4 linked regions of the Arabidopsis thaliana genome follow. The protein of the gene in region 3 interacts with the protein of the main gene of each other region in a pairwise test. Each region holds a gene or a part of one and is shown on either strand. Other genes may lie near its edges. The genes, in order: AT2G42490, PFK7, AT1G13520 and BCA4.

Evidence for each region.
Region 1: the proteins of AT1G13520 (region 3) and AT2G42490 interact in a two-hybrid assay, tested with the Arabidopsis thaliana proteins (one large-scale study listed by BioGRID).
Region 2: the proteins of AT1G13520 (region 3) and PFK7 interact in a two-hybrid assay, tested with the Arabidopsis thaliana proteins (one large-scale study listed by BioGRID).
Region 4: the proteins of AT1G13520 (region 3) and BCA4 interact in a two-hybrid assay, tested with the Arabidopsis thaliana proteins (one large-scale study listed by BioGRID).

Annotation. Positions count from the first base shown.
Region 1 is NC_003071.7:17,690,877-17,697,644, reverse strand, and holds AT2G42490 (Copper amine oxidase family protein), read left to right. Parts: upstream 1-1,621; 5' UTR 1,622-2,118; coding exon 2,119-2,323; intron 2,324-2,535; coding exon 2,536-2,645; intron 2,646-2,728; coding exon 2,729-3,034; intron 3,035-3,131; coding exon 3,132-3,244; intron 3,245-3,324; coding exon 3,325-3,655; intron 3,656-3,738; coding exon 3,739-3,954; intron 3,955-4,028; coding exon 4,029-4,265; intron 4,266-4,528; coding exon 4,529-4,714; intron 4,715-4,903; coding exon 4,904-5,044; intron 5,045-5,375; coding exon 5,376-5,644; intron 5,645-5,737; coding exon 5,738-5,819; intron 5,820-5,910; coding exon 5,911-6,045; 3' UTR 6,046-6,238; downstream 6,239-6,768.
Region 2 is NC_003076.8:22,921,941-22,927,475, forward strand, and holds PFK7 (phosphofructokinase 7), read left to right. Parts: upstream 1-1,863; 5' UTR 1,864-2,370; coding exon 2,371-2,472; intron 2,473-2,662; coding exon 2,663-2,709; intron 2,710-2,789; coding exon 2,790-2,829; intron 2,830-2,969; coding exon 2,970-3,170; intron 3,171-3,262; coding exon 3,263-3,421; intron 3,422-3,510; coding exon 3,511-3,564; intron 3,565-3,654; coding exon 3,655-3,853; intron 3,854-3,936; coding exon 3,937-4,199; intron 4,200-4,285; coding exon 4,286-4,486; intron 4,487-4,596; coding exon 4,597-4,788; 3' UTR 4,789-5,023; downstream 5,024-5,535. UniProt on the Arabidopsis thaliana protein: Catalyzes the phosphorylation of D-fructose 6-phosphate to fructose 1,6-bisphosphate by ATP, the first committing step of glycolysis.
Region 3 is NC_003070.9:4,631,125-4,635,158, reverse strand, and holds AT1G13520 (hypothetical protein (DUF1262)), read left to right. Parts: upstream 1-1,859; 5' UTR 1,860-1,935; coding exon 1,936-2,255; intron 2,256-2,458; coding exon 2,459-3,302; 3' UTR 3,303-3,526; downstream 3,527-4,034. Other genes in the region: AT1G13530 (hypothetical protein (DUF1262)), read left to right, coding at 30-237, 341-452, 582-1,419.
Region 4 is NC_003070.9:26,533,292-26,540,224, forward strand, and holds BCA4 (beta carbonic anhydrase 4), read right to left. Parts: upstream 5,147-6,933; 5' UTR 4,826-5,146; intron 4,202-4,825; 5' UTR 4,167-4,201; coding exon 4,113-4,166; exon of another isoform or gene 3,227-4,112; coding exon 3,162-3,226; intron 2,892-3,161; coding exon 2,751-2,891; intron 2,405-2,750; coding exon 2,356-2,404; intron 2,111-2,355; coding exon 1,994-2,110; intron 1,914-1,993; coding exon 1,860-1,913; intron 1,464-1,859; coding exon 1,375-1,463; intron 1,227-1,374; coding exon 1,121-1,226; intron 1,044-1,120; coding exon 876-1,043; 3' UTR 533-875; downstream 1-532. Other genes in the region: AT1G70420 (DNA ligase-like protein, putative (DUF1645)), read right to left, coding at 6,549-6,933. UniProt on the Arabidopsis thaliana protein: Reversible hydration of carbon dioxide. Together with BCA1, involved in the CO(2) signaling pathway which controls gas-exchange between plants and the atmosphere by modulating stomatal development and movements. Promotes water use efficiency.

The sequences.
Region 1 (6,768 bases), on a different chromosome or scaffold from region 3:
TTGACTTGCAATCTAACGGCATTGAAGGCTTTGTTGTACTCATGGCTATTGCATTGAGAATGAGATAAATAAAGAACAACATTGAGACTCAGTGCAGACTGGAAGGAGCAAATTGATAGACCTCTAAATGAAGAGCTCAATGAGAAAGCTCCTGAGTTGGTGCTGAGCTGGATAGACAAGTGTTTTAATGTATAGAGTCGTAATCCAGTCTAAATACAAAGTAGCTGTGGGAAGTAGAAGGTTAAAGGTTGTTGTAAAGGGAACACATTCTACTTTCTCGGGACTTTTCTTTGGTCAATCAAGAATTGGTGCTTGTTTCTATCAGTAACTGAACAAAACCAGAGAGTATGAGTTTGATCTTTACCAAACGCAACAAGGCATACAAAGGCAAATCCATAGTAATGACAAAAGATATCTAAGAAATAATAAGATAAGTAATACATTTGCTTAACAACAAAGAACAATATAGTTCTTAGCCAAAAAACATAAAAAAACAATGAACAATATAGTTGAGAACAATGTGATAGACCAAAATCTTATGTATTCATTCATCAAAAGAGAACAGTTTATATTGGAATTCTAAACGTTTTGCCTACTATTGAAGGTTTCACAAGAAACAAAACAAACCAAAGACTAGAAAACAAAGTGTAATTCAATAGTCTACGTTAACATGACGTGTTTTCGCACCGAAGACAATAATATATAAACTGTGATGACAGAATATGGAGTCATGGACTATGTAAGGCTAAACTAGATTATGGAGTCATGGACGAATGAAGAGTTTTTAATTTCGTGAATTTCATAAATAATGTGAGCCTCGTAATACCACTAGTTGTAGACAGCGGTTCTTTGGTGGTCGATATTGCATGGATTATGCGGTCCACTCCACGATCTAATTATTACAACTATATACATATATTTATATATCATGCACTATATTTGTATTTTACAATCTTAAAACCATAACATATCAAAACACTTTGATTAGTAACTTTTGTAATTTTATAAGCTTCTTGTGATTTTTATGTGATAAAACATAAACGACACCAATTCGTTTTTTTTTGTTTTCATACATATTTTCTATAATATCTGTCAGGATCTAATAATTAATATACTGCTCTAAAAGTATATATCATATCAATTGTCTCCAAGTTTTGGTGAAACACCTCAAACTCAAGTTAATAAGACTATTTTGGTTGTATTCATGTTTTTTTTTTGGCTATGTTCCATTCTGCTTACTTCTTAAAACAATGTAGTGTCCAATAACAGCATAAACCTGATAAGAATAATAATTATGCGTGTAGAATTTTGGTGAAACACGTCAAACTTATTTAACAAAACATATATGTTTCATTTTTTTTTGGTTAATTTTTTCCCAATTTTTTTATTTTGAAATAAATTTTCGGATAGTGACATATAACCTTATGTAGTCTGTCAATTGTCATATTTTTCTATTTCCATCATCCTATATACTTTACCTTTGTTAAAACTCCTTAGATAAGAACTTCCAATATTTTCCTTACCTATATTTTAATTTCCAGTTTTATATATTTAGTACTTAAAAAATTCAAATGGAAAATATGTTTGACTCTAATTAGACACATATAATATATATTTCCAAATAGTAAATTACAAATTGAGAAACTCATGAACAATAGTGCATCCACGTCGTTATCCAAGTTGGATTTCTTTCTAAAACAAATAATTAGACCTTTAAAAAAAAATATAAATAGGTACTTGTTAAAAAGTAGGAGAGCCCACAAATAAGGCTTTGGCCGCTTCTGCTTGGACTCTCCAACAAAAATCAAACTCTTTAAAAAAACAAACAAATTGAAGAGCGATTATACGATCACGGAGAACTCAAGATCCGGTGACGAATCCAACTTCTTGTGACGGAGCTCAAGTCGAGAGAGAGAAGACTGTACTAGTAGTAGTAGCTGTGGATTTTTGTGTCATCATCGGAGATCGGAATCTTCTTCTTCTTCTTCTTCTTGGAGCTTCTAGAAGTGGAGAGAAGGGGGAAGATCAAGCGACGGATAGTGATAGGTTTTGCTGTATGTCAGTGGATTGTGTTGAAACTGATTTTGGTGGATTTGGAGAACTTGTGAACCCTATTCAATGGCCTCAGCTTCGAAAAAGACGTCGGCATGTCCTCACCACGGTGGCTCTCTTCCGCCTCCCAAACTCGTCTCCGCTGCTCCCGATACCGTTGCTGTATGGTCCGACGCTGACGATCAGCGAGCCTCTAAAGTTTCTTTGGAATCCGTTATCCGCCCTGTCGATTCGTTTCCTGATAATACTGCCAAGAAACCTGCCAACAAAGGTTTGATTTGATCGTTGATCGTCCTTCATTCTTCTGATGTTAGCTCGCGATTCGTTTGAATTACTTGACTTCTTGTTTACTGGAATTTGTTGATGATGGTTACTTTTTGTGAAATTGGTTCTTGTCTACTTGATGGCTTCTGATTGAGATCTAATTGTGATCACTATTGTGGTTTCTGTGAAGTTGATTTTCTGTTGTGATCACCAATGCAGGGATTTCTGTGATGCCAAGGACTGAAACCAAGCACCCATTGGATCCTCTTTCTGCTGCAGAAATATCAGTTGCTGTGGCGACTGTTCGCGCAGCTGGTGCCAATCCTGAGGTGCGCAAACTTACTTGATTCTTGACAAATGCAGAATGCTTGATAACATTGTCACTGAAACTGTTTTACTTTTTCTTTGGCAGGTTAGGGATGGCATGCGTTTCATTGAGGTGGCATCAGTGGAACCAGATAAACAAGTTGTGGCGCTCGCTGATGCTTACTTTTTCCCACCGTTCCAGCCATCACTACTTCCAAGAACTAAATCTGGACCTGTGATTCCGATGAAGCTCCCTCCAAGGCGAGCTAGACTTGTTGTTTACAACCAAAAGTCTAATGAGACAAGTGTATGGATTGTGGCATTGTCTGAAGTTCATGCTGTCACTCGGGGTGGACATCACAGGGGAAGAGTTGTTTCCTCACAAGTTATACCTGATGTTCAGCCACCCATGGTATGTTAAACTATGTTTTAAGGAATTGGATCTCTAAGTGACTTTTAGATGCTACCGTTGTTTGCCAGTCTCTAAGTTTAGATTCTTTTGATTTTAGGATGCGGCTGAATATGCTGAATGTGAAGCGATTGTCAAAGACTTCCCACCATTCATAGAGGCAATGAAGAGGAGAGGTATTGAAGACATGGATCTAGTGATGGTTGATCCCTGGTATGTTAACAACATCATCGTTTCTGTTGACAATTAAGGTGTACTTCTTCTCTGAGCCTACCTCTTAATGTATTGTGCAGGTGTGTGGGTTATCACAGTGAGGCTGACGCTCCTAGTCGTAGGCTTGCAAAGCCCCTTATATACTGTCGGACTGATAGTGATTCCCCTATGGAAAATGGATATGCTCGTCCAGTTGAGGGCATTTATGTACTTGTAGACATGCAAAACATGGTGGTGATTGAATTTGAAGACCGTAAGTTTGTGCCACTCCCCCCACCTGACCCTTTGAGGAATTATACCCCAGGTGAAAGTAGAGGGGGTGTTGATAGAAGTGATGTTAAGCCTCTCCAGATTATTCAGCCTGAAGGTCCAAGTTTTCGTGTAAGGGGTTACTTTGTCGAGTGGCAGAAGGTAGATTTCCAGTAATAGCCTACTTGAAACCAAGTGATTATGCTTAAGCTTATTTCTAAATTGGCTCAACATTTTGTTTACAGTGGAACTTTCGTATTGGATTCACTCCAAGGGAAGGTTTAGTCATACATTCGGTAGCATATGTTGATGGCAGTCGAGGTCGAAGGCCTGTTGCACACAGGCTAAGTTTTGTGGAAATGGTTGTGCCTTATGGCGATCCTAATGAGCCACATTACAGGAAAAATGCTTTTGATGCAGGGGAGGATGGTCTCGGGAAAAACGCACATTCGCTTAAGAAGGTTTGACATCAGTTTTTTTTTTGGTGTTCTTACCACTCAGATCTCAGTTTGTGTTTAACAATCGGTTTTTATAGGGGTGTGACTGTCTGGGATCTATCAAGTACTTCGATGCCCATTTCACAAATTTCACTGGAGGAGTTGAAACAATTGAGAACTGTGTTTGCTTGCATGAAGAAGATCATGGGATTTTGTGGAAACATCAGGACTGGAGAACAGGATTAGCCGAAGTGCGAAGATCTAGGAGACTAACTGTCTCTTTTCTATGTACTGTTGCCAACTACGAGTATGGGTTTTACTGGCACTTCTACCAGGTTAGTGGAATACGTGATTCTTCATTTCTTGAGTAAAGCAGATATTAGTCATATTTGCATCTAATTTCTATAGGGAAGACAAATGATGTGTCTCCGCATGAGAATAAATCCTGAGTTTAGTGGCACTTTGCTTGTGATTTTTCACTTGAGGACATTGATTTACAGTGCTGAATCCGAGTTTCATTTGTTTTCTGATTTGTAGTTTCATCTTTCTAGATATTTGAAGACCAATATCATTTTATGTCTTGAATGTCTTACTGTAGGATGGGAAAATCGAAGCTGAAGTAAAACTTACTGGTATCCTCAGTTTAGGAGCTCTGCAGCCAGGTGAAACTCGAAAGTACGGTACTACTATTGCTCCTGGGTTGTATGCACCAGTCCATCAACATTTCTTTATCGCTCGCATGGATATGTCTGTTGACTGTAAACCTGCTGAAGCTTTTAATCAGGTACCTTTTTATGATGCTGCTCTTCTTCTTGTTATTTACTTACATATGCGGATTATTTTCTCAGTATTTAGGAATGGCATTGGTAGCATATGAATTTTAGAAGTCCCTATAGTTCTTGAAAAAAAATCTTAGATACATGTTGTCAGCTGGTTTTGCTCAATAGTCAGCTTAATCCACTTTTATCTGTAGGTAGTTGAGGTAAATGTTAGAGTTGACGAGCGAGGTGAGAACAATGTCCACAACAATGCGTTTTATGCGGAAGAGAAGTTACTTAAATCTGAGGCAGTGGCGATGCGTGACTGTGACCCTCTTTCTGCTCGCCATTGGATTGTAAGCAAAAACCGTACCTTGCATGTTCTCGTCCATTTATTGCATGTTTAACTTTCACATTGTCAGTGCTCGTACCCGTCTCTGTAATATCCTTGTTTATATTTCTTTCATCCTTGACTATCTACTAGTCTCATCCTTGAGACTGGATTTGGGATAAGAGATCACCTGAGCATCCCTAAGTTTCAGTCATGTGTTTATATAGTCTCATACTTGAGTTCCTTTACCAAAAAATCATCTCAGAGTTTCATTGAATATGATTTGTAGCTGAAGTATAGATGGTATACTCACGCAAGATGTATATTCAACACAAATCATTGTAATGTGTTATCAGGTAAGGAACACAAGGACTGTAAACAGGACGGGCCAATTAACGGGATACAAACTTGTTCCGGGTTCAAATTGTTTGCCATTAGCTCGACCCGAGGCGAAGTTTCTAAGAAGAGCCGCTTTCCTGAAGCATAATCTCTGGGTTACCCGTTACGCCCCAGACGAGAAGTTTCCTGGAGGAGAATTCCCAAACCAAAACCCACGGGCTGGTGAAGGTCTTGCCACATGGGTGAAACAGAATCGCTCCTTGGAAGAATCTGACGTCGTTCTTTGGTCTGTATCCTTGTTTTACTTATCTGATTCAGTTAAAAACTACTACTTACCAAATTATGTGACTTTCAATGTGGAATTTTCATTTGTCACCAGGTACGTGTTTGGGATCACACATGTTCCTAGACTTGAAGATTGGCCGGTTATGCCCGTCGAACATATTGGTTTCACACTAATGGTAAGTTAAATCTTTGACTGTAACTTTCAATGGAAAAAAAACCTTACAAAGGATTGGTTAAAAAATGTTTTGGGTTTTGGGTAAAATACAGCCACATGGATTTTTCAACTGCTCACCGGCAGTAGATGTGCCACCGAATCCATGCGAATTGGAGACTAAGGAGAGTGAAGTCAAAGAGGTTGTAGCACCGAAAGCTCTTCAGACTGGTTTACTTTCAAAGCTTTGAAGAATATGAATATCATTTGTTTTCTTTCTTTGATCTCTTAAAAAATTGGAGGCGTTGCTGTTGGTTAAGAACAATTTCATATTTGAATCTTTTATTTTCGTGTTTGGTGTGTGTGTTTGCAAGACTAAAAAGACCTTTGTCATTGGAATATTTCTATTAAAATTTCATATTTGAATCTTTTATTTTCGTGTTTGGTGTGTGTGTTCTTCTATGAATTGCATTAGTTTCATACTTTGGAAAAGAGAAGCAAATAAATATAAACATTGGAAGAGAGGAGCAACATCTCTACTATTTTCATTTTATAAGCCAATCAGAGCGCTCCATGTCATACCCCATTCTCACCTTTTACGTGATTTCACACCCACTCTCACTAATCGCGTGTTGAGGGCGTGTCTACGTTTTCTGAGGGTTCTAACCCACCAAATGGCTTGTTTTGAAACACACTCGCTCTTTTTTAAAAAAGCCTCGAGTGCGTGATTTCAGTGTTTTTCTCCTTTAATTCCAATTCAAACCCAACCGAAATCAATTGAATTTTTCAAAACCATGTAAATCGAACCGAAATTAAAAACACAAACGACAAACTAGCAATTGTCACTTCCACAATTGATCCAACTCCGACGAACCAGATTGATAATTTTGATTCGATTCCACACAGATAACATATAGTCCAAACCAAATGCAATTCATATAGCCTAAAAATCTTAGCTAAAACCCAAAGAAAAA
Region 2 (5,535 bases), on a different chromosome or scaffold from region 3:
GTATTACTCAGCTAAATGAGACATATCAGACCATGTCAACTTTTTTTGAGCAATATAAGGAAATTACGAATTGTGAGATATTTATAAGTTTTAGTTGGAGTCAAGCTGTAAAAAATGTAAGGCTTTCTTTTTATCAAAAAGATAAAAATCTAATTTTAAAGATTTTATTTAATAATCTTGTGCTTTAATTAACTGTTGAATCTCGCTCTTTTGTTTGAAATAAATATTTGTTTGTACATCCATTTTAATAGTATAAAACCTGGTACCTTCTCTGACCTTCTGAATGTTTTTGAACATAATTACGGATTAATTTAGGAGAAGATTATCAATATTTTTAAAATAAAGAACGCAGGAAAAGAACATAGGAAACAAAGCATTTAAGGATAATCTCTTTGGATTATAGGGCAAACACATGTTTTTAAGAATCTTTTTCTTTTTTGCTTTCTTTCACATTATTTGAAATATGTAACATATTCTTGTGGGATTTGAACCCAATGGTCCTACACTGGTGTGGGTCCAATGATGATGTCGGGAGATGGGGCCTAGCCGCAGATTTGTTTGAACAACAGATCAAACGGTCATCATTTATTTGATCTAAATGATTATATTAGGTTTTGCATTTTTTCTTCTCCTTTGAAAAGATGAAAAACGAAAAAAGGTCAGAAATCTACTGGAGATAAGAGTACCGTCTGAGACTAGAATAAACATAGATATCAGCTGAAAAAATTGATAAGAGTATGATAATGTGCTTATTCAGTTTTATTATTAAAAAAATAAAAAAATTAGTCTGCTACGAAAACACAAGTATACATACTATAGTTGATAAGAGCATTATCCATGGTGTGTAGTAAGTAAGTAAACAAACCATTATATTTGGATTAATCGAGTATTCAGCAAATATTCATATTGTCTTGTTAATGATTAAGAGCCTAGAAGTCTTTAAAATATCCATCAAGATTCAAACATTATGACTCAAACTAGTGTGGTGTTGTCCATTATACTCGAAACGAAATGGTATTTTTTCAACTTTTGCTTGTAAAACTTAGCCAGTGCATGGCCTTTATTAAATCAACTATTGGGTCACTGCATGACCCATTTATCAACCTGTAACTGAATATTGGGCTTTGGCAAAGATCCAATTAGCTTCATTCGTATTTCAGAAATTTGATTTTATATCCGACTGAGTAGGTACGTATATGCAATACGTTATGTCCTATTAGCCTTATGGGACTCACGGGTACTTATGCAGGAGATGGATTAATTTCATATCCATCTGCAAACTAAATACATTTATTTTCTTATGGCAAAAAGCCAAAAACTATGTAACGTTTAATTTACGAAAAAAAAAATATTTAATATTTGGGTTATATGGATTTTTTTTTATTTTTTTTTTTTTTTTCGGGACATTAGCGAGAGTCATAGTATTAAAGAAACAGTAAAAACAACGACCAGATTTAATGCAACTTTATTACTACTTTAATTCAGATTCGAGAATTGACAGGCAAATACGCATTATTTTAGTACATTATGAAGAATCATACAGTTACATATTTCACATATATATTGTTTTAAAGATGTAAAACGACTAAGCAAGTATGTCATCTGATAGCATTATGAACTAATAACTTTTTGTCAACTCTGATTTTCATTTTTAAAATTATTATATCTTGTTACCTCTTTGTAACCAGCAATAGTTTCTTGACAACAAAAGAATCGGCAAATCAATGAAAACTTATTAAACTAACACACAAAACATAAAAAATAGTGATTAGCCGACACAACAAAATTGGATTTGTCTTTCTCTCTTTAAAAGATTTTCACCCGAATATTCCTAAAGATCTGAAATACTGAAAATATCACACAAAAAAATCCAAAAAGAAAAAAAATCATTTTAAAATTTAGAACTTGTTTTTCAAGGCCCAAAATTAATCGTTGTCAATAATTGGAAACTTAAAAATAAAGTCTTGTTCTAGAAGAATGTGAATCATCTTCTCCAAGTTTCAAACGTTGGTTTTTTTCCCCACTGTGATCGTCAGCTTTATATATTATATACACGAGAATCTTGTACCCAATTAACATATACATACATGTAAATGTGTGTATGTATATAATATAAAATTATTCTCCTTTTCACTAATTTTTCTTCAAATACTTTAATGCCCACCACCTGTTCGATCAAATTCCCCATCTCGAAAAGCTAGAACTTTCTTCGTCTCTATTGGTCTCTCACTCTCTCTCTTACCTCTTCTCATTTGTTCTTTCTCCTTCTAAATTGGGTTATCAAGTATATTGGATCAACGGGTTTGATTCACGATTTGTCATTTCATCTTCGTGGAGAGAGTTTGATCTGATTTGTTGATCGTCAGCGTTATGTCTAGTCCGAGAAGTAACAAGCCGAAGATTGTCAACGGTCCTGGTGGTTATATTCTACAAGACGTTCCTCATCTCATTGATTACCTTCCTGATCTTCCTGTATGTTTCACTTGATCTCTGATTGGTTCTAAATTGATTTGAAAATTTCTCGATTTGCACAAAGAGATCGAATCTGATATCGTCTAGTTAACAAAGGAGGAATCTTTAGCTTTGGGTTTCAATGTTCTGATCTGTTTCTGGTTTACTCTTAATAAAATGGTGATAATTCGTGGTTTTGATGTTATTGCAGACTTATCCAAATCCATTGCAAGACAATCCAGCTTACTCAGTGGTTAAGTAAGTATCTTCACCTATTTCAGACGTTTCCATTGCTTAAAGTTCATAGTTTTTGTTCTCATTTGGATGTTTTTTATCAGGCAATACTTTGTTCATGCTGATGATAGTGTCCCTGAGAAGGTAATTTATCAAGCATAATCCTTTTTTACCTGTAATTGTCTGAAGAATGGTGTTAGATGATCATGTCTTGTTGAAAGTGAGATTTTTAAAAGTAAAAGGCTCACTTTTTCTATCCTCTGTTTTATTTTCGTGTTATTTAGGTTGTTGTTCACAAGGATGGTCCAAGAGGAGTCCATTTCAGGCGTGCTGGTCCACGTCAAAAGGTTTACTTTGAGTCTGACGAAGTGCATGCTTGTATAGTTACATGTGGAGGTCTCTGTCCCGGTCTCAATACCGTGATTAGAGAAGTTGTGAGCAGCTTATCATACATGTATGGAGTAAAGAGAATTCTTGGAATCGATGTAAGTTTGGTGAATCATAATTAATCTCTTCGGTTTCATTTTGGATTTCATAACTATTGTCCAAACGATTCTCATTTGTTGAAATCTTATAGGGTGGATACAGAGGATTTTACGCCAAGAATACTATCCCCTTAAACTCTAAAGTCGTGAATGATATCCATAAACGCGGAGGAACAATCATTGGGACCTCAAGAGGTGGACATGATACCAACAAGATAGTTGATAGCATTCAAGATCGAGGAATCAATCAGGTTAGGGAATAAACACAGCCACTGCTTTTTACGTTGTATGTGAAAAAGTTTGTCAACCTTTTCTTGATGTAGTATCTGTTATCATTTAGGTTTACATTATTGGAGGAGATGGAACCCAGCGAGGTGCTTCAGTAATATTTGAGGTAATTCCATTGTGATATTTCAGAATAACAGTTGTAAGTTTTAAGTTTTAACAATCAACAACTGAACTTAGATTGTATATAACCATGTAGGAAATTAGAAGACGTCGACTAAAAGTTGCTGTGGTTGGAATTCCAAAAACTATTGATAATGATATTCCGGTGATAGATAAATCTTTTGGGTTTGACACTGCTGTGGAGGAAGCTCAACGAGCGATTAACGCAGCACATGTTGAAGCCGAGAGTAATGAGAATGGTATCGGTTTTGTCAAGCTTATGGGTCGTTACAGCGGTAAGTCTTTGTTTTGAAACATACAACTTAAAAGACCTTTTCGATTTGTTACTGACTAATGCTAGGCGGGTGTTGTACTACAGGGTACATAGCGATGTATGCTACATTAGCCAGCAGAGATGTTGACTGTTGCTTGATTCCCGAGTCACCATTTTACCTCGAAGGAGAAGGTGGACTCTTTGAGTTCATAGAGAGACGGCTGAAGGATCATGGTCACATGGTGATTGTTCTTGCTGAGGGTGCAGGACAGGATTTGATGTGCAAAAGCATGGAATCTACTCCTATGGATGCTTCTGGGAACAAACTTCTTAAAGATGTCGGCTTGTGGCTATCACAAAGCATCAAGGTAAGAGTTAAAAACTTTCAAGATCATGAGATTCTTATGCCTTTTACAGAAAATTTCCTCATAGGGTTTATTTCCTCTTGTTGTAGGATCATTTTAAGAAGAATAAGATGGTGATGAATCTCAAATACATTGATCCTACATACATGATCCGGGCTGTTCCAAGTAATGCATCAGACAATGTTTACTGTACACTTCTTGCTCAGAGCGCGGTTCATGGTGCAATGGCTGGTTACACTGGCTACACCAGTGGTCTTGTCAATGGAAGACAAACATACATCCCTTTCTACGTAAGTTACTAATACAGATCTAATGTGTGCGGGATGGTCCTGAATTGAATCTGATCGTGTACTTGTGAGCAATTCTGAATCGTGTCATTGTTTTTTTGTTTGTCTTGCAGAGGATAACAGAGACCCAGAACAATGTAGTGATTACGGATAGAATGTGGGCGAGGCTATTGTCTTCTACGAACCAGCCAAGTTTCTTGGGGCCTAAGGATACATCTGAAGAGAAGAAAGAGTTGCCGGAAACACCGCTTCTTGACGACGGAGCTGTCGATATTCCTCCTGTGACTAAAGAGGTCACTAAGTGAAGAAGTTGCAGGGCATAATAATGGCATATGTATACTCAGAGGGTTCTGTAACCGATGCCGTTTCAGGCGAAAGTGAAATAATTGTTATTTTAACGAATTTGCCCTTTTGTGTATGTGCATACACAACACAAACACAAATTTTAGTTTTCTTCTAGATGTTTAGTTTTGTAATCCTTTTTGCATTTTCCACAACTGAATAAATGAATGAAGTAATAATCTTCGTTACTTTGATCCTATATTTGTTCTTGTATATGTTTTTTCACACTCAAAATGAAGAGAATAGGATGCAAGAGAGCTAAATTGTTTTCACACATAGATACTTCAAAAAGTTTCTTTTTGGTAACTGATCTTTTAAAGAATGAGAAAGCTAAATCTGAATGATTTAATGCAGTCAAAAGTGTTTTTTTTTTCTTGAAGGTTTCTATTATTGATAATTGAGAATTTGATAACTTGTTTGGATCAAATCTTGGTCTAATAATGATTTGTCTGATACTGAATTTGCAAAAAAATCTCAGTAATAGTGTAATACTTTTTTTTGGTTAAAAAAGTAATAGTGTAATACGACAGACCATAATAAATAAATTTTTTAAAGCAGAAGATGAAAGAAGAAAATATCATTTTAGTTTATAATAGGACAGACGAGATACAATTACCGTTTGTATCAACATTAGCATTAACATTAGCTAATGTAACAATACAACTTTATTAACTGGGCAATAATATGCTTAAACGACAAGTAATCAAACA
Region 3 (4,034 bases):
GATCTTGAGTAACAAAGAATCAAGGAGAGATGTATGTAACAAAGCGTTTGTCCGAGTACCAGAGAAACCCATCGGAGCTTACTTTCCTTCCAACGGAAGGTCCAAACTCCGGCGTATTGGTGATTCAAGACGAAGAATCACAGCCTACATGCTGTTTTGGCAAATGCTTTGGTTGTGATCTCAATGGTTTGCCGTTTCCTCAGAACACAAGAGTCACCGTTAAATACCAAATCGGACGTTAGTTACTAGTCATTTCACTCCTAACTTTCTGTCAATCATTTTACTTTACTCTGTTTCTGTTTCTTCTCTGTTTATTATCTAAGCTTTGATTTCACCATAGATGGAGATGACAGAATTGTCTTGCTTGACTCGGTCGCGTTCATCCCCGTTCTTCACCAGCCTCCTTCTTCCAATCTTTACTACGTTATAAGGCGAAGAGGGAAACATGCAGGGTATGATTCTATTGAATCTTTCTCATGTTATGTAGATATCAAAGTTTATCGTTTTAGTTTTAATTAAGCCAAGATTAATAGTTTAGCGGCCTAAATTCACATCTTTTAAAACTTTGATTGGTATTGCAGAGAAGCATGTGTTAGTGCAAAAGAAGAGGACAAAGTTTCTTGTTGCCTTTGTTTTACTTATGTCTCTAATGCTACGCCAAGGCTTCTTGATCCTTTTGACATATACCAACAATTTGAGATACATCAAAGAGGCTCATCAACTCGCAAGTTTTTCGCTACATCTGTTGCTTCAGATGGAATACCACCTCGGTTCCTGAGGAGAAAAGGCTGGACCGTTCCTTTCTCTGCTTCCCAAGACTATGGTTTGATTGATGATGCAAAGGGTGTAGTTGATGCAAAGCTGCGCTATGAGCTTCCCGATTTCGGTAAGAGTGTAGTAGTTGGAAAATGGTATGTTCCGTTTTTGTTTGTAAAGGAAGGAGATGCTAAAGATCAGATGAAGAAATCGATGTATTATAGTATGACACTTCACCAAAGATTTGAAGAGGTTTTCTTCTGCGAAAACGTTGACAATAAAAATTGCGAGGTTATAGTTGATGTGGAGGTAGAAACAGAAGTGGTTAAGCTTGAAGGAGAAAATATTGGAAGAGAGACAAAAGGTGTGAATTCAGATGGAGTTGTCTGGTTTGGTGTCTCAGAGACTCAGAAGATAGGTATTGGGTCTGTGGTCTTGGAGAGGATGAAATGGGAAGAAGAGAGGTTTGGGTGGTCGAAGAAAGGCAATGAACTAAAGTCTAGCATTAAGAGAACTGAGAAATTTGAAGGCGGTGGACCACAATGGAAGAGTTATAGATGCTATGTACTGGTAGAGACCTTTGAACTGAAGAAAACTGATGGGAGTTTGGTATTGACGTATGAGTTTAGACATGTTGATAAGTTGAAGAGTAAGTGGGATTGACTTTATTTCAGCTTCTTTGTGTGTTATGTGTTCAATTTATGGTGTGTTCATTTTATTGAAAGGTTAATGCAAGTTCATGTGTTATGTGGTGAAGCTAACTTGCACAAAAAGGGTGTATACTCTAAAAGGAAAAAAACCTCAAAAGTTTTGTAATTATTTTGTAGAAAAGCATTAGCTAGTGCCAAAGAGTAAGACAGAGTCCCCTGTTTCTTTTGCTTCAGTTTCTTCCTGAAGCTAAGTCACAAGAAGCAGATCCTTATAGTTAGGTCAATCATAATATAAAGAAAATATAGAATTTGTTTGATTGATTCTCCATGATAGGTTTGTGAAACCAGGTCAAGGTCATAACTTTGGAATTCTAAAGTTTGAATTGAACCATAAAGTAAAAAAATTTGAAAAGTCTTCAAACGATAACTTGTAAAATTTGCTTACCGCGTTATCCTCAATACATGGTGCAATATATAAACATATCATATCTCTTCTAATCAATAACCTGATCAAGATTCTGAATTCAAGATGTATGTTACAAGGCATCTCTCCGAATACCAGAGAAACTCGTCGGACTTGACACGATCGTTGCCGGAAGGTCCAAACTCCGGCGTACTTGTGATTCAAGACGAAGAGTCAAAACCGACTTGTTGCTTTGGAAATTGCTACGATGGTGAACTCAAAGGCTTACCGTTCCCACAGAACGCAAAGCTGACTGTGACTTACAGAACCGGAACTGGTAATGACAGGCGCAGTTACCATGACCAGGTTCTGTTCATTCCGGTTCTTGATCAGCCTTATTATTCGAACCGTTATTATGTCATTAAACGACGTGGGAAGCAATCAGGGTATGGCCAAAAATCTTAATTACTTTCTTGACTTTGTTTTGTTTTTTTGAGGTTTTAATCAATTTATGTCATGCATGGTTCGAGATACTTGCTTTTGGGTTTGGTTTTCTTGGGATGGTTTCGGTTTGACCGGATTGGCCACCCCTTTTGACCTGACTTGCACAAATGGTATTCATTAAAAAAAAACTAATTTTGGATTGCAGAGGAGCTTCGGCGAGTGCAAAGGAAGAAGACAGAGTCCCCTGCTGCTTTTGCTTCAGCTATGTTCCTGAAGTTAAGCCACAAGAAGCAGATCCTTATGATATATATCAACAGTTCGAGGTCCATCAACGTAAACCATCATCAGGCTATTACACTGCCACTTCAGTTGCTCCTAATGGGATACCACCAGAGTTCCTTAAGAGAAAGTACTGGACCGTTGAGTATTCGAATTCCCAAGACTTTGGTTTGACAGATGATGCAAAAGGGATCAACACTACGCTTCGTTCCAAGCTTCCCAACGATATGAATACAAGTGTTGTGGTAGGGAAATGGTATGTTCCTTTCATATTTGTGAAAGAAAGAGATGCAAAAGATCAGATTAAGAGCTCACCTTATTACAGCATGACGCTTAAACAAAGATGGGAAGAGGTTTACTCATGCGTAAACGTTAACTACAACCAAAAAGGAGGAGAGGTTGTAGTTGATGTTGACGTAGAAACACAAGTGGTAAAGCTTGAGGGACAAGAAACTATTTCTAGAGAGACAAGTGGTGGTGGATTTGTTTGGTTTAGTGTTTTAGGGGATGAGAGACAAGACAAGAAGATAGGTCTTGGGTCTGTTGTCGTGGAGAGGATGAAATGGGAAGAGGAAAGGTTCGGATGGTTAAACAACGGTGAAAGATCTAACATTAAGAGATCAGAGAGATTTGAAGGCGGGTCATCGCATTGGAAGAGTTATCGATGTTTGGTATTGATAGAGAGCTTCGAATTGAAGAGAATGGATGGGAGTTTGGTGTTGACATATGAGTTTACGCATGTTGATAAGTTAAAGAGCAAGTGGGATTGAGTTTTTTATTCATCTTTGTTCAGTTTCTTTGTGTGTCATCTTTTGGTTCAATAATTAATTTAATGAATAAGTTTTATGCAATTTCATGTAGTAATTAAAAAAAAAAAAAAGTTCGCATTTAAATTCACGTAAATTTCAATTATGAATCATTTATTTGATCATTCTTCTTAAATGTTTTTTTTTTAATATTGTAAACTTGTAACCCTCATTCCAACAACTATGGCCCTCCATTTTTTTAATATAAATCAAGTTCTTTGAAAGTTGCTGATAACGTGTTTTGATTCTACTACCAATTTAAAAGTCTTCACATACGAGTTTAGACATGTTTATAAGTTGAAGAGAAAGTGAGATTGAGAGCTTTTCCAATTTGATTCTCATATCTCCATAATTTATTTAATTTTATGATGTCTCTTAAATTCTGCTTCAAGTTCTGTTTTTTGGGGGCTCTGTTTCAATACAAAACCTCTGTTCTGCAGATTGCTCAAATGAACAATTATGAAGTTAATGGTCATAATTTGGAACTCAAAGTAGATAAAAACTTAAGTTACGTGATAGAATTTAAAAACAATGTGATGTGAATTTAAAAACTGCCAAAAAGGACTTCCATAAAAGCTAAGTCAAAGATCTCGGAAAAGTCTTAAAAAACAATGTTGATTGAGCCGCTAGTGAGATTATTTTTTCTAGTGATTTGAGTCTTGTCTTGTAGGATTCTTGTTGCTTCTCTACCACAAC
Region 4 (6,933 bases), about 22 Mb from region 3:
CTTAAGAGTCAAGACAATGGCATATCAAAACAACTGGTGAAGAAACTACGATTAATGAATGAAATAGACAACTTCAGAGAGGTGTTTGGTTAATGAAACGCTTACCGTAGCTTCTTCAATTTGGAACGCAAAAGTTTAGTGATTCTCTTGCAGTTAGATTAAATGGAAATAGAAATCATCATCGTTCGGCAAATCCCTAATATATAGAGAAGTCAATAAGTCGGCAATCACAATTGGGCCAATTTAGGTGGGCCTTTTCGTATTTAACTTGGTAAATGGGCCTCTGCAAATTCCCGTTTAGGAATCATATCATCTTACTATTACTTTTCTAGAAATATTCTATTTACAATAGTTACTCTTTTGAGTTCCTTTACTTATTTTGATAAATACATTTATATAAAGAAAATTCTAAATCAACTACTTTTAAATAGCAAAAAGTTAATAATTTTTTTTGCAACAACAAAAAAAAGAAGCTAATCTAAAACGAATAGTCACTACAATTTCGTTCTAGGTAATAGATGGGACAATGATACCGTATAGAAGTTTTTATGTAATAAAATTGTAATGATCAATGGCTTCAATGCCAAGAAGTTTTAACAATTAACATACACATATAATCTGGAAAAAGAGAGAAAGAAGGAAAGTTCAAATCTTCGTTCAAACATCAATTAGACAAATATAGAAGTTTCAAACGTTGGTTACAGCTTTATTGTTTGAGCTTTTGAAATAGAAGCAGCAAAGTTGAAGTTTTGAATTAACAAAAAGAAATCAAAGAAGTTGGAGAGGAATCATCAACATGAGAGAATGAAGAAAGATGAGTCAAAGTGTCTTTTTTTATCTCAAAAGAGTTTTATATGTTCCGGTAGCTTTCTTTCTTAAGAGAAGGCAAAAGCAGGAGTGGTCTTGAAATCGAGCTCCCAGAGATCAAACGTTCCTTTGACGAAATTGTAGTGACCTCCTCTTATTGCAAGTGTGTTCTTCACCACCTCAGCTCTCACGAATGGGTACGAAAGCAAGTTTCCAAGCGATACGTTCACAGCTTCCTGCACAAGATAACACATTTATTGATAAGCCATTTCTCAAGAACATAAGTAAACAGAGCAAAGATAGTTATTATTACCTTCTCACACTTGTTGCATTGATCATCGTAGCTCAAGTCTTTATGTTCCTCCTTGATCTTGTTCCTCGCTGATGCGCCTATCTTCACCCAATTTTCAATGAAGTCACTGCCATTGTTTAGAGGATTTCCATCGTGTTAGAGATCGATTAATCTTATCATCTCAAAGACTCAAACTTATCCCACAAGAAAGTCATATATCGAACAATCTTGATTCACAACTCAGGCTAAATCAAGATTAATGAGTTAGTAATTACCTTTGAGTTGGGGCAGCATCATCTTCAATGGACATGAGTCCCTTAATACCACCACAGCAGCTATGGCCTATCACCAAAATGTTCTCCACCTACAAATAAATTGATACTATTAAAAAAAGTGAACTGTTGACTCTGAATAAAAAAGTAGTTGCAAGTTGATGCATTAAGACCCATTTCTAATATCGAACATTATCCAAAAATGATTCAAAAAAGATAATCCTAGTGGCTAAAAGGAAAAGGAGAACAGGGTTTAGGTGGATGAAATGGGTCCAAATAACAGAGTGACTAGACATCAACTTTTAGTAAGAACCATGTGCAAGCAAAAATGCATAACAACGACTTAAAATAATGAGCACTATGAAAAGAGCCAAACTTTGGATGATTACTGATAAGTGATAACTTATAAGAATACTAACAAAGTTTGCTTATTTATTAATTCAATCTAAGTGTCTATCCTTAAAAATAGGTATATTTTGTTCATGTACCTTGAGATGTACAACTGCGTATTCAACGGCGGCGCCAACTCCAGAGTGTCTCTTCTGATAAATTATCAAAACCACTTTGGTGTTAGTTATTTGATCTCAGACAAGAACAAGAGTGAAATGGCTTGGTAATGAACCTGGTCAAAAGGTGGAACCATATTGGCTATGTTTCTGACAACAAAAGCCTCACCAGGTTGGAAATTCAAGATGTGAGATGGACAAACTCGAGAATCAGAGCAAGCAAACACCAGAAACTGCCATAATCAAAAAAAAAAAATCAACATCATTTTCAAATTCATTAACTCTATAATAAGAAAGTGGACCATCTTTGGTTCCAATAATTGTTTTTGCTAATTCATAAAGTCAAACATCATCGTTGGATTATTAAAAAGCTTGTCACACTCTTTTGTTCGTATTAACCTATTTTTTAGGTATTAGTCAAAGAAGAAAATAAGTAAATGAACAGAGAAAAAGAGAGAGATTTGAGAAAAGCTAAAACCTTTGGGGTCTGAGTCTTGGCAAGATGATTGAACAAAGTACTATTCTTCCTGAAAAAAATTATGAACAGAGAGATTTCATCAAAATCCATGAATCAACCTTAAAAAAAATTCAGAATTTCTTTTTAAAAAACCACCTTTTTATGTTTCTGTTATTGCATATACTAATTGGAATATACCTTCTTAATACAATTTAATTAGCTTTTAATCACCTTTTTTTAGCACTATCACATGAATAAAAACAGTAATGCTAAGTGAATAAGAAAAAATAAAGGTAGGTTTATCATTAATGGACCACTCCACCGTCATGAAAATTCTTCTTTACAGAACAAAAACGAATTTAATTATATTCTTTTCCTTAAATAACGTTAAAAAGTTTAGTAATTTAAATACTTACAAATATTTCTCGGTTTTGAATTGAGTAAAACCGGTCTTGATTCGTTCAATTGCGTCTGAATTGCTTGAGTCAAGCTCCTTTAGCTCCGCCGTCAACGCTTTGATCTTCGCGGCGGCGACGTTTCCGAGATCCGCTTTCGTACTGTAAAAAAAACGCGGAAATGTGAAACTTTTTTCCCAAGGTAAGTTGATCCAACGGTCAGGATCTGTCGTACGTGTACGGATTCCAAAATGTTTGGTCATGAAGAAAACACAAACGCGCAAATCAAAAGAAAACAAAAAACTCTGATTTTTTTTTCCGATTCAACGCTTTGATTTTGGCGTTGATTATGGAGAAATTGTGGGAGGAAAAAAAAGAGGAATATGCCGACACTTTCTAATGATGGTACTATGAGTCAGAGAGAGTGTGTACCTGAGAAGATCATTGAGTCCTTTAATGGCGGCTTCGTACGATTCCGTTGCCATTTCGTCTTTTTCCTAATGAATACAAACAACAACAAGTAATTTTAATCGGTGAAATTTGACGATGTTGAAACATGAAAATTGGATCTGATGAGAGAAACCTTAAAGGATCACAAAAGCAGAGGAGGTTTTTTTTTTCTTTCTCTGGAGAGTAAAATCCTTATCGAAGAATGTGAAATCAGTTAATGCAGTAGTAGTAGAGATGGATATTGGTATTTATAGGCCTAGAGCTCTATTATGCCATTTGGTTCTACTCTTACATTTTCTTTTTTACAAGGGAAAAAAAAAAGAAACTCCACAAAAATGGGAAGGTTTATATTATATTAAAAAATCTTTTTGTGGGATGGTGATTTGATAAAACTATTTTAAAATTTTGGGGTGAAATGGTTTTGATTGAGGAGGAATAATTAAGCATGTGGCTGTATGTCTCGGTACTGATTAAAATGAAATTATAAACCCATTTGAATTTCCAAGTACATTTTTTTTATAAATGCAAATTTCATTCGAATGTCTACATTGACTAGAATAGTTTTTTTCTACCTCATTTGACCAAATAAATGATCTCGACTTGAAAAGTAAACGCAGGGCAAAAAGCATATGGTAGTAAGTAGTAATTTTTATTTTGGTGAAGGCAAATTGGTCTGCGTCTTTTCCGATAGGCCGGTGGCCAATGACAAAGCAGGATAAGTCAACCAAGGCAAGCCTTACAGGCTGACACGGTCATGTTTTTAACGGACTTGCCAGTTGGCATCTACGCGTCACCAGTTTACTTAATTATTACTTTCTCTATATACATTTCGTCACTTTATATACATACTATAATCTAATAATCCTCTCGAAGTTTCAAAAATAGCTTGAGTATTTTTCTCATAAGCAAATTTGAGTTGTTGCTGGGACTTACCGGGGAGGTTTTAGCGCAGCAGAACATGAAACATTTTCCGAATGCAGGAGCCATTATAAATGATCTCTTCCTTTGCTTCTCCTACCAACCTGTCCAGTCCAAACCCGTAATCTTATTATTACAAATACATCTAAAAATAAAGTATAGGAGTTTTCTCATTGTTACTTACAATCGACTACATTATTAACTACTCACGTCGGCATTCAATTTATTAAATTCATAACTGAATTATAATTTTATTATATTCTGAAGACTAATAATGCGATGGCTGAATCACAACAAATTAAAATAGATGGATGATCTAAATCCGGAATGGTTCTCTGACTCTTTAGTTCCATATATAAAATATTCCTTTATACATATTTTCAAACTTTTTTGGGGCTTAAAAATGCTCAAGTAACGCAAGCTGGCTTTTCATTGGACCGTAAGGTTCATTTCCATCAACCATTATTGTATATGACTATACTCATTGCCATGAATAATTCAAGTTTTATTCTATCATATTAAGTTCTAACGTATTTTGGGAAAAAAATGCTCATTAATTGTCAACAAACAAACCATACACTTCTTAGTTTTTCAAACATGAACTTGAAATGAAGTTTTTGTGTTCTCCTTTTAGTGTGGAAAAATGGATTCAGTTTTTTAGTATAAAAAAGGGTTTTGGTAATCGACAATAATTAAATTAAAAAGAAGATAAATTACGAATGAAATACCTAAATGTTAGGGGAAGAAGAAGCTCTTGGTAAGGCTCTTCCTAGCTCTTCGACAACCCTATGGACGTGGTAACAGTTTGAAGATGATGAGGCAGAGGATTTTGGGAATTGAAATAAGTAAACAAATAAATAAATAAAAATCTTAATTTATATGGGAAGAAGATTGGATATGGGTTTTTGGATTTTCGAGGTTTCAAGGAATTATGACGACCGTTCGAGCAATGTGGGGGTTTCTGTTATGGGATAGAGAAAGCGAAAGGTGAGTGAAGCTGGACTTCTTCTTCTTCTTCTTCTTCCATGTTTTTTCTTTTTATTTGTTTCTGCTGTTTATTTAGTAAAAATCATAATAAGACCTGTAAATATTTATTGACATTATGAGAAAACACTAAAACTATGCTAGAAGATAATCTCATGAGATTTTATTCTTTTTATATGCTTTCATATTTATTATAACTTGTTCTACTATTTAAAGTAAATTCACTAATATAACAAAAGTTAAAATCAAATTTCTATAACAGACCATTTATTACTTTTAATAATTATTTGTCAACAGTTCTACTAATTATATAAATTTTGTATATCTTTTGGATCTAAACTAATGTATGAACGAAGTAGTGATGAAATTATTATCCAAGACCTGAAATCTGTTTCGCTTCGAAAATTAGACTATATAAATTCAGATCAGGATAGCATAAATTTATGGTAATGTTGTAATTTCATGACTAGCCGTTAATAGGGCTTGCAAGTTGCACCTCTCATTCATGTAATGGACTATTAGATTTAAAACAACCCAAACCAAAGATAACTTTAGCGACACTACAAATTTTCATGTAATGGGCTATTAGATTTAAAACAACCAAAATTGCTAATTTTCACAACCAGTACTTTTTCTTGGGCTTGATGTTTCAATTCATGCCCCATTCATCAGCATAAACTCTCACTTGACTTCAAATACCTTTCGATGATGAATGGGGCATGACTATTTCTGAATGGTGTTAGTCACCTGGACCCGAATTATAGGCCTATCATTCTTACTTTGGCCCAAATATTTATCTGGCCCTCTTACATATAATATAAGCACTTTTAAAGCTATAGCTGTATGTACTCTTGTATTAGGAGGCATATTGAGTTTGGTGTGATGTATAATGTGTAATGTGTTGTCACTTGTCACTACCAATACAGGTTTGTACTTTTACTATGTTTAAATAATTTGATACCTAACTTAATAGTGTCGGTAAACAGAAGTTGTAAAAACTAAGCTATCAAAAATAAATGCCTCAGGAAATCATTTATAGCCATCTCTAAAAATGTGTGTTTACATATCTGCGGCCATCGTTAATCAATTAGATAGAGATAATATATTGCCTAAAAGAACAAGTTTTACTTTATTCCAGTAAAAAATTAATTCCTACTTTCAAAATAAAAAAAATAAAAAAATTAACGTGCGGACAAATTTTGATATACCAAAATATATTATTGACAAACTTAAATTCCAAAAAAGATCGATGAATCTTTTCTCTACTACTTTCAAAATCAAAAAATACTTTACATCAAAGAAGAAAAAAAACTAATCAAATGATACAAACGAAAAGTTAATAAGTAAAGTTTCACTTTTACTTACAAAAAGAAGGTTTTATAATACACAGAAACCAAAAAAAAGGTTAGATATATACAAAAGGCAAAGATTTGTCGGTAGAGATTTTGGTACGACAGATCGGTTTAATCAATAGGGATGAACATTTCTGGTTAAACCATTAACATTAGTGAAGAACCCAACATGTTTATACGGAAGATACGATCTTCGTTTCCCTTCTTCTCTCATTGCTCTGTTTCTCATATACAATTTCTCATGTGCCGATTTCGTTCTCATCTTATCCTTCTTCTTATCCGTCTTCGTTTTCTCTTTCCCTTTCTCCGACGACTTCACCACACCACTCAATCTCGCCGCCGTAGACGACGTCGACGATGTAGATGAAGAGCCGTTGCTTAAAAACACAAACGCATCTTTTCCATCACTGTTACTTCTCAAAACAAGATCTCTAAATCTCCATAGCTTTGAGAACCCTGTTGAGTTACTTTTCCGACAAGTCTCTGGTGATGCTTGCTCC